Linked DNA regions of Drosophila melanogaster. The protein of the gene in region 2 purifies or fractionates together with the protein of the main gene of each other region. This does not show direct contact. Each region holds a gene or a part of one and is shown on either strand. Other genes may lie near its edges.

What was found.
Region 1: the proteins of Nuf2 (region 2) and Nnf1b purify together in Drosophila melanogaster (affinity purification with mass spectrometry, with the first as the bait; one large-scale study listed by BioGRID). This does not show direct contact.

The regions. Positions count from the first base shown.
Region 1 is NT_033779.5:807,358-812,176, reverse strand, and holds Nnf1b (Nnf1b), read right to left. Parts: upstream 1,601-4,819; 5' UTR 1,532-1,600; coding exon 1,419-1,531; intron 1,369-1,418; coding exon 1,156-1,368; intron 1,089-1,155; coding exon 974-1,088; intron 919-973; coding exon 745-918; 3' UTR 646-744; downstream 1-645. Other genes in the region: Dbp21E2 (DEAD box protein 21E2), read right to left, coding at 1-541.
Region 2 is NT_033779.5:7,062,255-7,068,822, forward strand, and holds Nuf2 (Nuf2), read right to left. Parts: upstream 3,584-6,568; 5' UTR 3,512-3,583; coding exon 3,211-3,511; intron 3,151-3,210; coding exon 2,778-3,150; intron 2,721-2,777; coding exon 2,207-2,720; 3' UTR 2,177-2,206; downstream 1-2,176. Other genes in the region: Sem1 (suppressor of exocyst mutations 1), read left to right, coding at 1,832-1,943, 1,999-2,126; Ugt307A1 (UDP-glycosyltransferase family 307 member A1), read left to right, coding at 5,729-6,384, 6,436-6,568.

The DNA.
Region 1 (4,819 bases), 6.3 Mb from region 2:
TTCGTTCGGTGACCACTTCTTTCTGGAGGAGTTTGTCTACGATAGGCAGGAGATATGTAATTGTTTTTCCACACCCAGTTTCAGCGGCAATGAGGCAGTGCTCATTTCCATGGACAACGGGCATTCCCTGTTTTTGGATTCCCGTCAGTAATTTGATGCCCAGCTCGACTCGCAAGTTCTCAAGGAGTTGCGGATGAATCTGCATCCCCGTGCTCTCGAGGAACTCATCGACGGTCTGCATTTCCTGCTGGAGTTCCTCACCTCGCACGCTGGCGTTCAGGATGAAGAAGTCTCCCTTGGATTTGTTGTGCAGCCAGCCCTTGGAGGCCAGCGAAAGACTCCCAAACTTGGCATCCGTCTGCTCGTATTGGGTTAAATCGAACTGGCTTCTTCTGCAGGAGATTAGGGGCTCCCCCTTCTGCTTTTTGCCCTTGGACTTTGCCTTTGGTGGCTTCGTCTTAACTGCCGCCGCCGCCGCTGTGGCATATGAAGCCACATGGCGCGATGATTGCACCCGGAGCACCACGGACAAGTTCAGCATGCTTTCGGAATATTATTCAATGTTTTTCATTTGCCGGCAAGTCAGCTGTGCACACGCATCGAAGTGTTGGAAAGCGCCGCTCGAATTCAATGCCACTTGTGGCGGTAAGTTTGAAATTCATATTTATTTCAAGACCCAGCAACTAATATAATAATAATAATAATAATAATAATAATAATAATAATCTGTTTTTTTTTATAAAATTACATTTCTTCCTGCACATACGAATCATTTATTAGCCGTTCCATTTCCATTAACTGTGGCTTAATGGCCTGGTACTCGGCCAACTGCTGCTTCATCATACATCCCACTTTCACCCGTTCAGCGTGGACATCATGTATAAGCTGTCGATTTTTAATGCTTTTGGCCATAGCAATCTAAAATCGAAGTAATCCAAGTATTACTTAATTCTTCGGAGGTTGAAATACATACCTCGAGTTCCTTTTCCTGTTTCTTAAGCTGTTGCTCCATGAATGTGATGCTTAGATTCAAGTTGTGCATGCGCAGAGGGCGAGTAAGTTCCTCAGGGGACAGACAGTTGAAGTTCCTGCGGATTTACGTTAAAAACCATGGAAAGTGCTGCTGGACAACCAAATTCAAAACCATTCACTAACCAGTTCTTGCCCTCGTGGGCGGCAAACTGCTCCTTAAGCATTTCCAGCGTGGTCAGCTTGGTCTCCACGTCGTTGCCGGAGAAGAAGCACTGGTTCACATCCAGGACGATCTTGGTCATAAGCCGACGGGTGCTGTGGATTATTTGCTCGGTGTCCAGGCTCGTGGATTCGTGCTCCTCGAGGATGGAGGCACACGACTCAAGATCTGAGGAGCTAAGCAATAGTAAGCGTTTGGTCAATCTTTTAATCAGCCATTCTCCTACTTTAAATCCGAGAAGATCTGTCCAATGGCTTCCTCGTAGGCCTGCTTCACCTGTGGAATGACAGCCTGGAGCCGTTTGAAGGCTGCTTCGGTGTCCTCTTCAATATTATTCATACTTTTAACACAATTCTGGCAAAATAATAATTACAAGCAAAACTTGGCGACCGAAAACATATGTGACCATTTACAGATAGGTTGTGAATACCAACCCCTATATGACATGATTGTAGGTATAGGGTATTCGAGCTGCTTTCAATTATGATAACATATATATTGTATAAATTATTTTAAACAACGGTTATTGGCTAATTGGTTAAATTCAAGCATCAAATCTGGTAAGTTGGCATTACTTCGAAAACACTCAATATAACATTGAACTCATTTTTTACGCCACATTCAGAGTGTATTTCTCGAACTGAATTACACAACTTTTCACATGTCGCATCGGCGAAGGAACTTGCAACTAACACTCAATAACTGCACTTTTCAGTTTCCCCGAAAGTTGTGCTTTCACTGCAGTTTGCCACATCGGGAAAACTTGCCACAATGGAATTTCCTTTTATCTCCGCTCTTTCGAGAGGGTTTTTAATTTGTGCAACGTTTTGGGCAAATTGTTGAGGCGGGGACGCAGTTTTTAATATGTTTTGAGTAATTTGTGCGCATTTGCGAATTTTTATCGCAGTCACAAAAGTTTGTCCTTTGTGCTCCTTATCGTGTGCTCCTCGTTGGCGCGGTTGTAATGATGACTTTATGACTTTATTTACGTGCAATAAAGGAAGCATTCTGCGGCAAACTCAGGTTTAAGCATCACCGAGCCACTACTTTCGAATATAAATGCGATCCAGGTTAATTTATTCGCTCGCCGGGTCCGGCATTTCCATTATTTTCCGGGTCCGAAAAGGAACTCAGCTGTGGAGTAGGCAGAATTCGAAATGTGCTCTCCCCTGCACAGGAAAAATCATTTCGACATCAATCTTATAACGACCCATAAATGCCACAAAAATGAAAAGGTGGAAAGTTCGAAATTGTTACCCGGAAAACATTGTTACCCATGGGACATACATGTTTTTCAAAACTTGGTGCATACTTTCAGGCACCATTAAGTGAGATTTGAAAAACCCACTAGCATCTTCTCCGTTTCGATACACATTTTCTCTTTGTGTGGCCCGGATCTCAGATATGCTAAATCCCGGCCAGAATCCTGAGCTGTCCCCTCCAGGAACAGAAGCAGAATCAGGAGGCGTGCCAGTCGGTGGCCGTGTTAACATGCATGTGCCACTCTGCCGCATGTCTTGCTAAAACTCGGCTCCGAATTTGCATTTCAATGATTAAAGTGTTAAAATGCCGGCCGACACATGCGGACTGTTCAGGAACCACCGCCCAGGATCCACCCGCCTTCGTCCTTCGGATAGTTGGTAATGGCTTTATAAAGCGAACACCTCAAGCAAGATGCGATTTTAATATTCTTATTCTCGTGCACATGGTGTGAAAAACTTGGAGATGTTGACTTTTTGTGGTGCGACTGGTATGCAAATGAGCCTAAATTCTGAGACAAAGTTTTGCATACTTTTCTGAATTCTGAATTCTGAATTATACCAATCCAAATAACTATGCATTTCTCACACTGTTTGCGCTTGTCCTGCTCAAAAGAGAGAATATGCTTTCCCCGAAAGTCTTCTCTTTAATTAGTGAAAATGTTAAGTTCTGAAAAAATACTTCTTCTTAATAAACTCATATCACTTACCTAGAAACCCTTTGAGAAAGTTATTCCTCTGAGTTTCCATATAACATAAAGCAATCAGTTCTTGAGCAAAGTTCAGCTGTATCTCGAGGAAAGAAGAAACTTTTGGATATTCAATTCCGAGCGTTCGTGTCTGATCCTTTGACGTCAGATTGCTAAAAAGTTATTCGAGTTTTATTTTACTAATCAGAAAGTCTCGTGTCGTCCTGTCAAGGGTTTCTCCTGCTACAAATTGGATAAATCACTTGGCTCTAATTGATGCTCCATTTTGCCAGTGGGCGAAATTCTGGTCAAATTCCAATCAAGTCAACGCCATCTGCACTGAAAGAAACACTTATCCTTTTAGGCTTCTAAACGTACATTGTTGTTTTCTTAGTTTAAGAACATCAGTGTGTTATAACCATTTGCTGATAGTGTTATCATCACCTTGATTATGCGCTATTTAAATATCGATGAGAAGCGGATATGTTGGCTTGGCTCTGATCTGTTCGTCCTGTGTGCAACAGTGGGTCCTGGCTGGCAGCGGCAGCCGTCGCTTGGCGACACTTGCGGGCGTGACAGGAATGGAGAACCACTGGGAAAATACCAGTGGTGGGAGGGGGTGTGGGGCTGGGGGAGCGGTGCGTCAGCCGCAGTGCGTGAAATGCATTTAAAATTTTCGCTGCATACTTGTCGCCTCGAATTACAGCGCATTTGTCGAGTGGTGCTTTGTGCTTTGTTCGTGAATTTGGGAGCTGCATTCGCATGCAAATCCACAGTGGAGGTCGCCTACGTGTGCTTGACACACATATGTAGATCAATTGTGCAGAATTTGCCTGAGTTAAGCGACTTTTAATAGTTTCTGAACTAACAAGCTGTCGCGCAAATCGATGGTTAGGAGCCGACCACTATTCATGTGACCGCAACTGTGGGCACTCATGCGTGCTGGAAATGCGCTTTAAGCACGCATTAGAACAATGCATGAAACCACAGCTGCCGCCATATACAAGGCTGTGTATATGTATCTGCACATATCTGGATATGGCAGCCGTAGTCCTACCGATTTTGCGGATTAACACTAATGAAACGCAAGTACAATGGTCGAAAGTAGCGTCAGACAATTGGTATGCAAACCGAGTTCCAGCTACACATGTAAGTCCTTCATATCGTTGGAGACGCCTCATCTTCCATGGAATGCGATTCGCAAACCTTTTGTTTGCCTAAGCTCTCGGTGGGAGAGGGGGGGGGGTTGATTTCCTTTTCGGGAATGGGCCGAACAAAAAACAAACACCGGAGCAACAACCGGCTGGTGGGGTTAGTTTACCGAAGCGGCTTTTACGGGCTTAACATATTAATTAAACTTGAAGTGGAAACACGAAACCCGGCTGGGTCAACTTTAAATTAAGTTTTAATCTGTTGCTCATATTTAAACAGCCAGCAGATTGCTGAGTGTGTGGTTGCACTGCGAAAAAAAATCGAAGGTTTGCCACATAAAGTTGCAGCAATTACTTCTTAGCCAAACTTTCAATTCAAACAAATGGCTTTCAACTCTATCTGCAGATGTGTTTATGAACAGTATTATCTGCTTATTTATTATTATTGGCGAGTTGATGGGAGTGCAAGTAGTTCTCCGTGTAGCTTTCCAAGGACACTTGAATTTTGCGTGTGGGTGCTGCGTGCTT
Region 2 (6,568 bases):
TTTATCCCCTATGTATTTATTGCTACAACTATGTGTTTTCCCCTCAAGCAAGCTTAAAATCTTTTTTTTTTATTGTGTTTAAGCGTAACTTAATTGGTGCTTTTCTTCGAAAACGAATGAGAAATATAGGTTCTGTGTTTGATTTGATCACACCTTGAGGCAAAAATCTTGAAAAATGTTTTTTGAACAATAACCGAATTGAAGTCCAAATGGATAGACGGACTGCTCGTATTTATGTATTTACTTTAAAGCATTTTATTGAGGCTAAGCTGATTAATTTAACTCTATTTACATATATATCCTCTAATATTTAAGAACGCAAATCCTTGTTACGAACTGTTGACTTGAAGCAACAAAACAGTTGGCAAAACCGAATGCTAAACAAATGAATACATATTTAACACTTCCTCTATATGTGATACAACACTTTTTCTAGAAAAGCTTTCATATTATCTTATAAACTAAATAGAATTAACCACTCTCCACACACTGTAAACGATCACCACTACTTAAGTGGGCTGGCAGCAGCAGGACAGGCTCTTGTTCAGGGATAATCCAGATGAATGAATGTATGTCCCGATCCCACGGATATGTGTCCCATCCAACTTGTCGCCCCATTTAGCTACAGCAATTACGGAAAATCGGAGCTTGTAACAAATTGTTAAACGATGATAATAATTGCATTGAATTTAATTTGATTTGTGCGTAGAGCATCTGTGATGAATAATAATGTTTAAAAAATGACGGAGAAGGAGCGAAGTGGAGAGCCCAAAACCACACACAATACTGATCAACAATATTACTAATCAAATATAAGGTGTTTTATTCCTCGTATATAACATTAGCAGACTAAATGTAAACACAAACGAAATCAAACAAACTATTTAATTATGTAGATTTGCAGACCGCAACAACTAAATGTTAAATGTTGAACTAGAGTTAAAATTGTGAACTCTAGAAACCGAAACTAACGATGCAACAAAGGAGTATATATTTTGGCATACAAAATTTTTACCATTAAGTCAACTAAATGGAAGAATACAAATTGTGAAATATGTTTTATTTTTACTACATTTCGGACAGCACGAAAACCAGCCCAAAAATAGACAAAACTTAAAGTTCGCTATGCAATAAATCAAAAGGCAGCAATTCAAGAACGGAAACAATATGAAAAACTATACGCATATAACATATATATTTATTAATGTTAACATATGGTACATTTTTGATCTAATTGTTTAAAATAGCCAACCAGCAGCAACAGTTAAATTAAATGTAGCTTAAAACCCAAATGCTCAATAATCCCTTTAGCTTGAAAACTAAATAGCCAGCCGTAAAAATGTTATACAAATCATTAAATGCATATAAAGCCAATTTTAAAGTCTACAACAAACCTGAGAAACTTGAGATCTTAAATGAACTTCATTTTTAAAGTGCTTCAACTTTTTCGGGATTGTAATAGCTTGCGTTTGAATTCAACTCACAATTTAGTCGGGTGAAAAGCCTAATTACTTAATTCTTTTACTAGAAAAGGAGAAATATATTAGAATTATTAACGGCTGTGTCAAGTTGCCAAATATCTGCCAACATTTGTTTGTAATATTCTTAATTAATTCTTTAGCCTTTTTTTCTAGCTATAAAGTTAGATTTGACATCACTGTCGGGTGCCAACGGTATTTTGAAAGTATTTTTTCCTGTTCACTTGGGTATATTTCGACGGTACAGCTGCGGTCACACAATTAAAAGTGACTGGCATCATTTAGCAACAAAAAACGCGAATAGCGTCAAAAACATTGTTTTATCGCCGTTGGAATTAATAAAAGCACACAAAATGTCTGCCCCAGATAAGGAAAAGGAGAAAGAGAAGGAGGAGACCAACAACAAGAGCGAAGACTTGGGTCTCCTGGAGGAGGACGACGAGTTCGAAGAGTTTCCCGCCGAAGGTTGGACGCAATAATGTGGTGGTACATCGGCAGTTTCTAATCACTTTCATTGTAGATTTCCGCGTTGGCGACGACGAGGAAGAGCTAAATGTGTGGGAGGACAACTGGGACGACGACAACGTGGAGGACGACTTCAGCCAGCAGTTGAAGGCCCATTTGGAGAGCAAGAAAATGGAAACGTAAACCGGCACCGACCCCTTTGTTCAGTCCTAACCATAAAAACGAGCTGAGCTGTTTTGCATTAATAGAATAAAATCAGTATATTAAGTGGAATTCATCTGCCAGTTTTGTCCGAGAACCTCATGGATTTGCTCATTTAATATGGCATATAGCTGATCTTGCTCCAAATTTTGCTGGTCTAGCTCGATCAAGTGATTATTCAGATCCTCCAGACGTTTCTTGCGATCCTCAACATCGACCTGCAGCTTTTTGAGTTCATTTTGCACCTTGTGATTCTCGGCATCGTTTTCCTGGTTTCTTTCCTCGTACCGATGTGCACAAAGAGCGAGTTCCTGCTTCTTGGCCTCTGCATCCTGAAGGAGCTTCTGATAATTAACTTTACAGGTGGGCAACTGCTTTTCCACTGCCTCCAGCTGCTTGAAGCTCTCTTTGTAATCATCCACCTTGCACAGCGAAAGCACAGCCGTGGCCTTCTCCAAAGCGGTGGCTATATGTTGACTGTTTTCGATCATCCGGCGATGTTCATTCGTCACCTGTTTTTTACTGGCCAGCTCCGTCTTGCAGCTCTCGACATGCGACGATGCGCTCTTAATTTTCCTACAATGTTTGACATTAAAATAAGCACAGAATCTAGGCTTGCCCGACAGCACTTACTCTCGCAGCTCTGTCACTTGACTGTCCTCCACCACTAGCTGTTCCCAGTGACCGATGCGTTTGTCCAGCTCACCCTGCTGCTGCTCAATGAGTTCCAGAGTGTTTTCATGCTCGCTACAGGACTTCTTCAAAGGTAGAAGCTTTGCTTGAGTATCCTGCAAATCTTTCTTGAGTTTGTTTATGGCCACTTCGCAATCCTTCGTCTTCTGGCTGCATTGCTCCAGCTGTTGACTTTTGGCCTTCACCTCGGCGGTCAGCGAATCCTTTAGCTTAATGGCCTCCTCTACAGGTCCCAGCACCTTCTTTTTGAACACCTTGTAGTAGGCCAGATGGTTGAAAAGGTAGCTCAGCGTGGCGAGCGTTTTTTTAACAGCTAATAGCCAAAGAATTGTTTAATAATAATTGCTTATTGTAAGACCGGCTGCCGGCTCACCTGGTTTAATTATGTCCATATAGGTGTACGTCTTGTTGGGAAAGCTGATCTGGACGATGCGCTCCACTTGGCGGCACACTCGGATAAGAAAGACGCGCGCCTCCCGCGACGAGTGACCGAGTTCGGTGCCAATCTTATAGGGCGGCTCCAGGCGAAAGCCGAAACTCCGCAGATAGTGCACCATGATCTTGGTGACAATGGGCTCGGTGGGATTGGCCAAGTCGCTTTGGCAGATATTGATGTCGGGCATCAGGCAGTTGCCCTGGTCCATTACCCTTTCAATTTCGACTGATAACGCCATTCAATCCAGAGTTTTAATTTTTAATGGCAGTTTTTGAATGGAACGCCGCTAAGGGATCAGATTGATGTGACCAAAGCTTGCTAGCCCCAAAAAACCACTAAAATACTAACTCAGAATTTATGTGGTTTTCACACCTATAGTCCTACAGCAGATTCTCGGGTTTTTTTATCCGGTTTTCTTTCCCGGCAGCTAGAAAATACTGCATTTGTTCAGCGCAAACTTAAAAAGTAACGGAAAATCTGGCTAAAGTTACTAAGTTACATTTTTTATTGGTGAGTGAAAACTCTGGCTTCCTCCAGCGCTGCAAAAGATGATGCTAAAAATCTGATATGCCCGTACGGGGTTTTCTCCAAAACTTGGCCAAAAAAGGTGGCACAGCGAAAATAAAGACTGTTTTGTACTGCTAATAAACATACCTAACTATCCCTATCACTAGTTTTTTGATTTTCCAAAAATAAAATTTTTACAAAATTTCGCATTTTTGATAAGGGGTACCCTCATCAAAATTTGCAAAAAATTGAAGCCTCTTGGATCTTTCAGGTTTCAACACATATGGATAGGGAATTAAGTTACGAACTCAACGAGATATGACATTCCAGTTTTGGACAACTATTCTTATTGCTATTGCAAAAAACTCGTTATTTTTGTAACCAAAAAGGAACGAAAAGAAATTTTGCCAAAAATCGTATATTTCCAATCGCTGATTTCTCCATAACTTGGCCAAAAAAGGTGGTACAGTGAAAATAAATACTGTTTTGTACTGCTAATAAACATACCTAACTATCCCTATCACTAGTTTTTTGATTTTCCAAAAATAAAATTTTTACAAAATTTCGCATTTTTGATAAGGGGTACCCTCATCAAAATTTGCAAAAAATTGAAGCCTCTTGGATCTTTCAGGTTTCAACACATATGGATAGGGAATTAAGTTACGAATTCAACGAGATATGACATTCCAGTTTTGGACAACTATTCTTATTGCTATTGCAAAAAAACTCGTTATTTTTGTAACCAAAAAGGAACGAAAAGAAATTTTGTCAAAAATCGTATATTTCCAATCGCTGATTTCTCCATAACTTGGCCAAAAAAGGTGGTACAGTGAAAATAAATACTGTTTTGTACTGCTAATAAACATACCTAACTATCCCTATCACTAGTTTTTTGATTTTCCAAAAATAAAATTTTTACAAAATTTCGCATTTTTGATAAGGGGTACCCTCATCAAAATTTGCAAAAAATTGAAGCCTCTTGGATCTTTCAGGTTTCAACACATATGGATAGGGAATTAAGTTACGAATTCAACGAGATATGACATTCCAGTTTTGGACAACTATTCTTATTGCTATTGCAAAAAAACTCGTTATTTTTGTAACCAAAAAGGAACGAAAAGAAATTTTGTCAAAAATCGTATATTTCCAATCGCTGATTTCTCCATAACTTGGCCAAAAAGGTGGCACAGCGAAAATAAAGACTGTTTTGTACTGCTAATAAACATACCTAACTATCCCTATCACTAGTTTTTTGATTTTCCAAAAATAAAATTTTTACAAAATTTCGCATTTTTGATAAGGGGTACCCTCATCAAAATTTGCAAAAAATTGAAGCCTCTTGGATCTTTCAGGTTTCAACACATATGGATAGGGAATTAAGTTACGAATTCAACGAGATATGACATTCCAGTTTTGGACAACTATTCTTATTGCTATTGCAAAAAAACTCGTTATTTTTGTAACGAAAAAGGAACGAAGAGAAATTTTGTCGAAAATCGTATATTTCCAATCGCTCATTTCTCCAAAACTTGGCCAAAAAAGGTGTCACAGCTAAACTAATGACTGCTAATAAATATAACTAACTATCCCTATCACTATTTTTATGATTTTCCTAAAACGAAATTTTAACACATTTTCGATAAGGGGTGTAAAACTGGGCGACACATTTGATACATGTAACAATGAACTGGGTGAAACATAAAGGCGTAAGGTTTGAAGTTATCTGACTTAAGCACTTAAATAAATAGTTAAAAACATAAATAACTGTGCTCTTTGATTTTGTTAAATTTGTTAATGGCTCTGATTGGACAGCGCCGTGACGCCACAGTTTTCGACTTGATGTCGTTGGGTAACCAAATCGCTTGTTATCATTTTGATTGATTTATGGTGTGTCCGTGCGACTCTGCTAATTAGCTGCTAATGTAAATTTGAGTCGAGCGCCTCAGTCATGAAGCGTTCGCCGATCAGTTGGTCACTTCTGTGGATGGGCTACACATGCATTTTCCTGCTGGCCGATAGCCCAGCCCCTGTGGAATCCCATCACATTTTGGGTCTCTTTGTCAATGTGCACCGGTCGCAGTTAATGGTCCATTTGGCGGTATGTCGCGCTCTTTTGCAGAGGGGTCACCACTTAACCCTAGTCACCACATTGCCGCTGGAGGAGCAGGAAATTCAGGGAAATGTGTCACACATTTACATTCCCTGGCAGCAGCCAAAAGAGGAAGTATCCTCCTCGGACCTCATTCTGCGCCTGGAACGGATGTTTAGGCGTTTGGAGCATTCTGGAGATCTGCTTGATCTGCCGGAGTGGAAGATGTTTCTCAGAAATCAACCTAATACTCCCTATGATCTCCTCCTCTTGGGCTATCATTTCAACGATCATCTGCTGGGAGTTGCTGCGCATTTCAATTGTCCAGTGGCCATAGTTTCCACCCAACAGCCAACTGGATTTGTCAACAGCCTTATGGGTAATCCCGAGGAGCGTTGGTATGTCCCACAGCCGTATGATGGCCAACAGCGAAGTGGAATCTCGGCCTGGGTCTTTGGAATGTGGGAGAAGTTCATGGAGATTTTGGCGAGGAGAGTGCTGGCAAGGATCTACCGGTATGTATCTAAACGCAGTTGTTTAGCGATCAATTGAGATTTTCTTTTTAGTTTGCACTTTCCCGAACCGCAATATCCCAGTTTTGAAACCATGCGACGGTCGGTGGTTCTGGCTTTAAGTAATCATCACATGATCAGCGAGGGTCCCATAGCTCCACTTATTCCCAGTATGGTGGATATAGGA